Arabidopsis thaliana: one gene and its partner. The protein of the gene in region 1 interacts with the protein of each later gene in a pairwise test. Each region holds a gene or a part of one and is shown in the gene's direction. Other genes may lie near its edges.

Evidence for each region.
Region 2: the proteins of AT3G11280 (region 1) and AT3G18870 interact in a two-hybrid assay, tested with the Arabidopsis thaliana proteins (one large-scale study listed by BioGRID).

The regions. Positions count from the first base shown.
Region 1 is NC_003074.8:3,532,142-3,537,811, reverse strand, and holds AT3G11280 (Duplicated homeodomain-like superfamily protein), read left to right. Parts: upstream 1-2,817; 5' UTR 2,818-3,190; exon of another isoform or gene 3,191-3,416; 5' UTR 3,417-3,418; coding exon 3,419-3,822; intron 3,823-3,947; coding exon 3,948-4,335; 3' UTR 4,336-4,601; downstream 4,602-5,670. Other genes in the region: AT3G11290 (Myb/SANT-like DNA-binding domain protein), read left to right, coding at 517-801, 877-1,380, 1,453-2,046.
Region 2 is NC_003074.8:6,507,141-6,511,021, reverse strand, and holds AT3G18870 (Mitochondrial transcription termination factor family protein), read left to right. Parts: upstream 1-1,678; 5' UTR 1,679-1,682; coding exon 1,683-2,507; 3' UTR 2,508-2,637; downstream 2,638-3,881. Other genes in the region: AT3G18880 (Nucleic acid-binding, OB-fold-like protein), read right to left, coding at 953-1,108, 1,273-1,434; AT3G18860 (transducin family protein / WD-40 repeat family protein), read right to left, coding at 2,670-2,801, 2,884-2,949, 3,155-3,224, 3,347-3,423, 3,683-3,819.

The DNA.
Region 1 (5,670 bases):
CGTCTCGAGCGGCACAAACGCCAAAATCCGATAACAGCGAGAAAAATCGCGATCCGGCTTTTTCAGCCACACTCTTAACAACACAACTCAGAATCGCTCTCGCCGCTGTTTTTCTGGTAAACATTTCACACCTTTGATTTCTCCATTTCATCTAGACAAATTGCGAATCTCAAAATCGTTTTTTTCTTCGTTCTTTCAATGTTAGGGCCAAATAGTACTCGATCTAGTGTACAGAGCTTAACTCTAAATTGCGTTAATTTTCATCACATGAATGATCTAATAGATTTTCAGAATTTGCCTTGCAAAAATCTTTGCTTTATTTTATTTTTTTCTGGGTCTCTCGTCTTTTGTTGTCTCCTGGTTATGAATTTGTTAGAATCTATGCATTTGGAATTGATAAGTCCTGTAATGCTTCCAATCAAAAGCAATTGTGGGATGACAAATGTGTGTTTAGTCCATACATACTTCTCAATTATGTTGTTGTTGTTTACTTATCTATTCGTATAGTGAAGAGTTATGATGCCGAAAGCTGCGTGGGAACCAGAATACCACAGAGTATTTGTGGACTTATGCGTCGAGCAAAAGATGTTAGGGAATCAACCTGGAACGCAGCATATATTGAAACCTTTTCTACAAAGAACTGGCGCTAGGTTCACCAGAAACCAGCTTAAGAATCACTGGGATACAATGATCAAGCAGTGGAAGATTTGGTGTAGACTTGTTCAATGCAGTGATATGCAATGGGATCCTCAGACTAACACTTTTGGTGCTAATGATCAAGACTGGGCCAACTATTTACATGTACAATTTATCTTCTGTGTTGATTTTGGTTGTTTCTTGAGTCTATAATAAAACTCATGATTGGATTTGTGACAGGTGAATCCTGAGGCTGGGCAGTATCGGTTGAATCCTCCATCGTTCCTCGAGAAACTTGAGCTTATCTTTGAAGATAGTAACTTAGATGATGAAGGTACTTCAGGTAGCAAAAGGAAGCGAATAGCCAAGCATCGTGATGAAGATAATGATAATACTGGAGATGAAGAAGACACGCAAAGCGCTTCTAATTTCTCGAGTCCTCAGTCGAAAGGATACTGGTCACCGTCTTCACATGAGCTGTTTGTTGATTTGTTGTTCCAAGAGGCTTTAAAAGGAAACAGACCTGACTCACATTATCCAAAGGAAACTTGGAAAATGATCCTTGAGACTATCAATCAGAATACCGGTAAAAGCTTCACCAGACCGCAACTCAAGAATCATTGGGATTGCACCAGGAAATCGTGGAAGATCTGGTGTCAAGTGATTGGTGCTCCTGTCATGAAATGGGATGCAACTTCTCGAACATTTGGTGCTACTGATGAAGACTGGAAAAACTACTTGAAGGTATAAACGCTACTCGACTTTTTATATTAGTTGATTAAGTTTGCAGCTTAACATTGGTTCTTTGATTAACAGGAGAATCATAGAGCAGCACCATTCAGAAGGAAACAACTTCCTCACGCGGATAAACTAGCAACCATCTTCAAAGGACTTATAGAACCAGGAAAAGCCTATTTCCGTTCTTATCGCAGGAGAGTGCTTGATCATCATTCCGAATCACCACAGCTACATGACCCAACTCCATTATCAACACTTTACACAAACGAGCCAGTCTCAGGTAGTGAAGGTGGAGCTGATGAAGATGACAATGATGACGATGATGAGCAGCCTACTCCGCAGCACCGGAGATTTAACAGTGTTGGTTTTGCAGAGTCTCGGTTACAAGATGTTGAAATTGTAACTCCGGGATGCCACAGGTTAAAAACTGAGCTGATGAAGGAGAGTCCAGTGAGTGCATCGGTTAGGCAGTACGAGTATACCATTGGGGAATGCATTGAGTGTTTGGACTCCATGGAAGAGGTTGAGCAAGGTAGTGATCTTTACTTGTTTGCGTTGGATTTGTTTGTGAAGAAAGAGTACAGAGAGATTTTCTTGCTGTTGAAGAACTCAAGTTTGAGAATGTCTTGGCTGCTTAGACTTCGATCTGGTGGCCTTACCATTGCTGCCTAAGATCGTCATATTCTCCCAAACTTCTTCTGCTTATGTCTTATTATGCTAAACACTCTTGATTTATCTTTTGAACAGTGTGAGATGTTATATTATTAGGTTCCTTGAAAGATTTTATGACAGTCGAAATATTATAAGAGTTACTGGTTAACTTTTGTCGCAAGAAATTACTCTTGTCTCTATTGCAGATGAGAAATAAACTTCAAAGCATTCGTATCCTATCGTCTATGACTCTATGTAGCCTTCTCTTCTTCAAAATTAACTTAAGTTAAAAAACCTTGTACAGTTTGATTAGTTGATACAACCGATATACTTTTATTTGATTTTCTCTGTTTGCAGAAAGTAATTTAAAACTTATGTGAGCATCACAAGTAAAATGGAGAGATAGTGGGATTTAATGAGCTTTAGCTATTGAATCTGTCACACTTTCTAAAAATATTTTCCACCGACGCATAGATACTAAAACCAATCATCACTTAATTCCAGGTAAGAACTTAATCCTAAACAACCTCCTTAAGGAGACAAAATTAAGATATAAAAAGAGATAAATCGCGCCAGGTAGGGGTCGAACCTACGACCTTCTGCTTAGGAAACAGACGCTCTATCCACTGAGCTACAGGCGCTTTTGATTGTAATTATCAAAACATTATATTTATAACAAAACCATACAGTATGTCTCCGTGTGGACCAGAAAAAAGGCGATAGAACAAATTTGTCGTATTCCAAAGAATTAAATAATAGAATCAAATAGATCAATCAACTTTTTTTTTCTTTCTGAGAAAAATGAACCGCAAGAATCCGAGTGGAGTGGTGCCATTCGCTGTTCTCCAATCCAAATACGCCAAATCTTCCCAAAAATAAAGAAACCTTTCCTTTTCTTTCTCTTCACTCTGTTCCCATATCTACAGTGACTCTTCTCTCTCTGTATATTACTCTTCCTTCACTATCTCTCTCTCTTTACTGGGTCTTCTTCAGCTTCTGAGTCTTCTCCTCTCTCTCTATCTCTCAAGTGGGCTTTGCTTTGCTGTTTTTGTCTTCCTTCGACGACTCACTTTTGCAGATTCTCATAAATTCTTCAAAGCTTTGAGTCTTTTTTCAGATTCGAGGGTCGGTTTTATATATGCTTCAAATCTCTTACCCAAATCAGGTTCTTGATTCCCTCAGTATACGATTCTTCATTTTTCCTTCCCTTTTGTTTTTCTTCTTCTTTGATTCCTACTATATTATCATTAAACCTTATATATAAAAGCTTCCATTATTTCCTTATATCACAAATCTATCTTTTAAGCTTCCTCCACACATAGAGCAAGAAAATGGACTTTTTTGAGCTGTGTTTGTAGTTGAAACTTATTCTTCCCTTTTTTTGTTTTTAGGTATGGAGACTCTGCATCCATTCTCTCACCTACCTATCTCTGACCACCGGTTCGTTGTTCAAGAGATGGTGAGCTTACACAGCTCGAGTAGCGGTAGCTGGACTAAAGAAGAGAACAAGATGTTCGAACGAGCTCTTGCGATATACGCTGAAGACTCGCCTGATCGCTGGTTTAAAGTTGCTTCCATGATCCCTGGAAAGACTGTTTTTGATGTTATGAAGCAATATAGTAAGCTTGAAGAAGACGTTTTCGATATTGAAGCAGGACGTGTTCCCATTCCTGGTTATCCTGCAGCTTCTTCTCCCTTGGGGTTTGACACGGACATGTGTCGTAAACGGCCTAGTGGAGCTAGAGGATCTGATCAAGATCGAAAGAAAGGAGTCCCTTGGACAGAGGAAGAACACAGGTTAAGACACTCTTTCATCTCTACAGAATTCTTTCCATATAAGTCACTCTTCCTAGGTTCCTTGCAACGCAAGTCATCCCCTTTTTTCTTAGGGTTTTCAATGCTCTGTTTCTTGTTCCTTGCAGGAGATTCTTGTTAGGCCTTCTCAAGTACGGTAAAGGAGATTGGAGAAACATATCGAGAAACTTCGTGGTGTCAAAGACGCCAACGCAAGTGGCGAGCCACGCCCAAAAGTATTACCAGAGACAGCTCTCCGGAGCCAAGGACAAACGCAGGCCAAGTATCCATGACATCACAACCGGCAATCTTCTCAATGCCAATCTCAACCGTTCCTTTTCCGATCATAGAGATATTCTCCCTGATTTAGGGTTTATCGATAAGGATGATACGGAGGAGGGAGTAATATTTATGGGTCAGAATCTCTCTTCAGAAAATCTGTTTTCTCCATCACCAACTTCATTCGAAGCTGCCATTAACTTCGCCGGAGAAAATGTCTTCAGTGCCGGAGCTTAAGGCAACATAGAATCCCCAAACTCAGCGTTCTTAAGAATCTGAGTTTTGAAACTGTAATTAGAGAAATATAAGCAAAACCAAGTTTATTATATATGTATTGTGTGGTTTAAAAGTAAGAACTTGTTTTTACTCTGTATTTTTGTGTTTCTGTCTACTAAATACCTGTTATGTTAAAAAAAATCTGTGTTTTCTTTTCGATTAAATTATAGACTTATAGTTGTGAAAAAGAGTACTTGTGCTTTATGACAAGTTGATAACCCTAACAATTTACCACAATATATCTATTTTATGGTGTTAAATGCAAATTATAAAGATATACTGTAATAAAGACTTAAAGAGATTAAAAAAAAAAAAAAGACTCAAAGAGATCAAACACCACACAAAAATGAGAAATTTGTGAAACATGTTTTGGGTTAGATTTATTTAAGAAGATGGCTATAGTATAGTTTTAAATATTGAGTAAAGTTTTGGTGGAAGGTATGAAGAATTGATTTGAGTATAAAATAGAGGCTGAGTCTGCTTTCCACTTCTGACCAAAGAACCTCATTCTTCTCATCTATTACACCAACCTCCTGACTCATATATATATTAACGTATTTAGAATTACGTATAATGGTGTCATTTGTATAAAAAACATATATGAATGAAATGTTTATTTTATTTTTTAATCATTTGGTGCCCCAATCTAAACACTGCTCACATTTGAATTATGCAACTTGAAATAACTTTGATAAATTTATATTGAAACAACTTTGAAATATTATTTATCACAGTTCATATGCAAAGTTGGACCAAAGGCTACACTTAATCAAGCAATAGTTTTATCATAGTTCATATTCAAAGAAATCGGATTTAATAGATTTCCATATCTTATTCTATATGTATTAGATGAATCTTGATCATCAATTGTGACATATGCTACTGCAATTTGCGAGTCCTATTTCGGATAAAGAAAACAAAGTAGTTTTTCCTTTCTTGCAACTTTATGGCTTTATTTCTTTTGCCACCCTTTTGTTATTTTGTCACTTTCGATCTGGTCGCTTCGATGGGATCTACATGCCTTACACTGATGTACCAATATCAAAAAACATTCAATGTTCTTACGTCATACGTGCATTACTATATACTATACAGTATACACTATTTTATGACTAAGATTTGCGATGCTGATAACTTTGAGAACAACAGGATGCAAAATTTAAAGTGAAATTACGTACAATTGTTACATCTTTTCCATAGCAAAGTTATAAGGACATATTCTAGAAAATTGTTGAATAACAATTATAAAATGATAATTGTGATAATTCTTTGTAAAACTGATGTATTTAAATATGT
Region 2 (3,881 bases), 3.0 Mb from region 1:
GATACAATTGAGACTCAGCAAGAGTTCTACTGCGTCTGCCACTGCATCTTGATATGATGGGACCCACATAACATTACAAGAGACCAATCAATGTTTGATTGGAGTATGCTGACATGGCAAGGCTAATTCGGTTTGGTTTGTTCCAAAACTTGGATCCAAACCAGAATCATTTCATAGGACACATTAGAATTTGAATACTTTTGGCGCTGGATTCTTATATGCATTGTTACATATTGGCGTTTACTTTCTCCAAATGCTTATATCCAATTAGATGAGTAAGTTTGGTCTTCTTAACATCACTTATGAATAGATTTTGACCAACACAATCTCTGTAAACTTGTTGGTCTTTTTGAATTAGCTTTTTTTCGCTAGAGTGAAAATTATTCATCAAACTTTCAATAGATAATCTGTAACTTCGGATTCATCAATTATACAAGTAATCAGGAGATCGAAATCTGATCAATATCATCTACTAAAGCACTACACTACAGCTTGATGGATTATGTTCGAAGTTACCACATTCTCTGTTTCTGATGGTGCTACGTCTGCGACCCACATTGTTCGACCCTGGGGTGAGTTTGCGCCAGAACTGCAAAACTGCAGCAAGAGGAACAGTCAGAGTTTTAAAGCCTAACCAACCAAAAAGGTAAGAAAAATAGATTACGGTAGATGCACATCAAGATGCCTAACTAGCTATAAATCGTAGTGGGTATGACACAGAAAATGTAGGGAGCACAAAATGGATTCCAAGAACTTAAGAATGGAACATCAAGATGCCTAACAAGCTATATTGCCACACAATAGCCTCTCATACCTTTAGAAACAGTATCAAAACTCAAATGTCAAACAGCAAAGTTCAATTCTCATGCAGTTCCACTAAAGGTATCAAAGGACAATACACTGAAACAAAATATTCTGATACAAAAAATTAGAGAGCAATAACTAAATCACCTTAGGAAGACGAAACAGGGGGCTGCTCAGCAATGGAGGTTGAGGAATTGAGAGCCGCAGCAGCAGCTTGTGGAGAATAAATGCGTGCTTTCTTTATGATTTCTGAAACAATCCAATGCTTATGCTTGCTCAAAGGCCTTGAAGGATCCAATTTCACCTAATATTTCAAACAACCAAATCAAGTTTCATTTCCAAAGCAGCCTAATAACAAACAGGCAAGTCTACTTCCAATGGTTGAGTTCAAATATTCCTAGAGCTTCCCTAAATTTTCGAGCTCTTGATCAAATGTATATCAAATTCAAAAAATGAAGGGGAAAATACTCGATCGCCGATGTTACAGGAGTCCTTTTCATCGTGAGCCATGAACTTGGAAGTACGCTTGACATATCGATTGTAGATATTATTGTGGAAGAGTCTGTCGACGGCTACCACCACCGACATCTGCATTTTGTTCGACACCACTGTCCCTATCACTGCCTTCATTTTTCCTAACGAGCTCTCTCTGGATTTTGAGAATCTAAAGAGCAAAGAGAAAAAGATTCTTCTGGTCTAGGGGTTTTATAATGATGGGCTTTGTTATCTCAGCCCAATTTATATTAAGGTCCATGAAGTATAGTAGTTAACAGAACCGGCCTCATACTAAACCGCTTCAAAAGCTAATTTCTGGTTTATTTAACAGATATAAATAAAATCGAACCGGGATGAGAAGTAAGAAGTGAAGAATCATCGATATGGCTGTTATTGCTTCACTTCATCATCTTCAACCTCTCTCGTCTTTCTCGTCTCCTCCTTCTCCTTCAAGCTCTAAGCCTCTCTATCTAAAATTCCAAACCTCACACCGTGAAAATCTAAGACACCTTTCTTCTCTCGGAATTGTTCCTCAGAATCCCCGACTTGCTCCTCCGGCGAATGATCTTTCCGTTATCCTCTCCGCCGTGAATCTCCTCAAATCGAAAGGAATCTCCGACGAAGATTTCCCACGCCTCGTTTTCCTCTGTCCACAGCTCTTCTCGCCCACTTTCGACATCTCTAAACTCGATCCCGTCTTCGATTTTCTCACCGGCGAGCTTGGAGCTTCCGCAGAAGAATCCAGGGGCTTAATCGTAAATTGCCCGAACATCCTCTTCTCCGACGTTGAGTATTGCTTGAGACCGACGCTTGTTTACCTTAAGGAGCTAGGGGTACGGAATCTGAACCGAGCCAGCAAGACGAACGCGCACGTGCTGAACACGAGAGTTGAGAAGCTAAGAGCAAAGATGAGATTCTTGAAGAGTATAGGTTTCGAACACGAGGAAGCAGCTAGAGTCTGTGGGAGAATCCCGGCGATATTCGGATACAGTGTTGAAGATAACTTGAGGCCCAAGTTCGAGTTTCTCGTTTACGACATGGAAAGAGAACTTGAAGAGCTCAAGAAGTTTCCGCAGTATTTTGCGTTTAGCTTGGGGAAGAGGATAAGGCCAAGACATTGGCATTTGAAGAAGAAGAACGTTAGGGTTTCGCTTAGTAGAATGTTAATGTGGGGTGATCAAAAATTCTACTCAAAATGGAAGCCATAAGCCATAATCTTTTAAGTTTTAACATATGTTAGTATTCAGAAATCTGAAAACAAAAAAGTTGAATTGCATTTCAAGGAAAAGTGATTTTGAATCATATGAAAATTCTTGAGGGAATCATTGAAAATTCAAATCCCGGGTTCGATCACAGACTCTCTTTTAAGGTTACTGACGAATTACAAGATCGATATCGGCCCCAACTTCTGCAATCTTGGCTTCCTTTGACGCCTTCGCTGATTTTGCGATGCTCTCTACATCAAAATCTATCGCTATCTTCTTCACGAGACCTTCAAGCATCTGTTGTTACAAACACACACCGATTAAATTATGTAATTAACAACAAGTGGATTACGTTACTCTAGTTGTTGCGGAAACTAACCAGTGAGCCAATTGCTACCAGACTCCGGAACTTGGAATCAACATCTGCAGCTTCTTCTTCTGCTACCTGTAGTAATAAGTTAAATATTTTTAGCACCAAAAAAATGATAATAAACTATTTGGTACATTGGTCTTCTCCGATTTTACTTTGATCTCAGAGATTTGTGCAAGTGACAGAGACAAAATAAAAACAGATGAGATTCAACTCGGTGACGATGAATAGGATTTGGATGTATGCAACAGTGGTTAAAAATAACCAAATTTAGGCGTACCTGCAAAGCTGCTGAAAGGACTTGAGCTTGACCTTCTTGATCCTTCTTTTCTATTAATAGCACTGCATAACTGAGGAAGAACAAAAGCATAGATTACGGTTTGATCTTTCTCCACAGAGAGTTTAATAATAGAATAAAGCTACAATTTGGCAAAAATCCAACTAGAAGAAAGTAATATAAGAGAGATCTTACTTGAGAAGCAACGTCGAATAAGCCAACTGCAGATTCTTATTTGGGGATGAATAACAGTTTGAGAAGGCATCAAGAATCTGCATTGATCCACAGCAATTAAAACCACTTCTCAAATTATTATAATAAACACACACATGTATAGGCACTATCTTATGTTTAAATGTAATTAGAAACTTAATTTATATGCCCAGACGCAAAAAAGCAATGTATATTAGACATAAAACCCAAAAATTTCTCCTCAGGTTGCAAGTCACAGCTAAACCAATTAGTAGGTTCATCGAGATCATCACACATCCTAGTTCTGGTATAAAATCATAGAAATGAAAGAGTCCTTACTTGACTATGATGCGTCTGTAGCCAGTAATGAAATGAAGAATTCTTGAATAGATTAACAAGGACACGAACAGTCGTTAAAAGATTTGCAGGAAGAGCAGAATCTTCTGTAACTTTCTTTATCAAATCCAAAAGCAGGTCTGATTGATATATAGTAACAGAGAGATACCAGTTAATAAAGGACATTACCTACTAGCTAGTA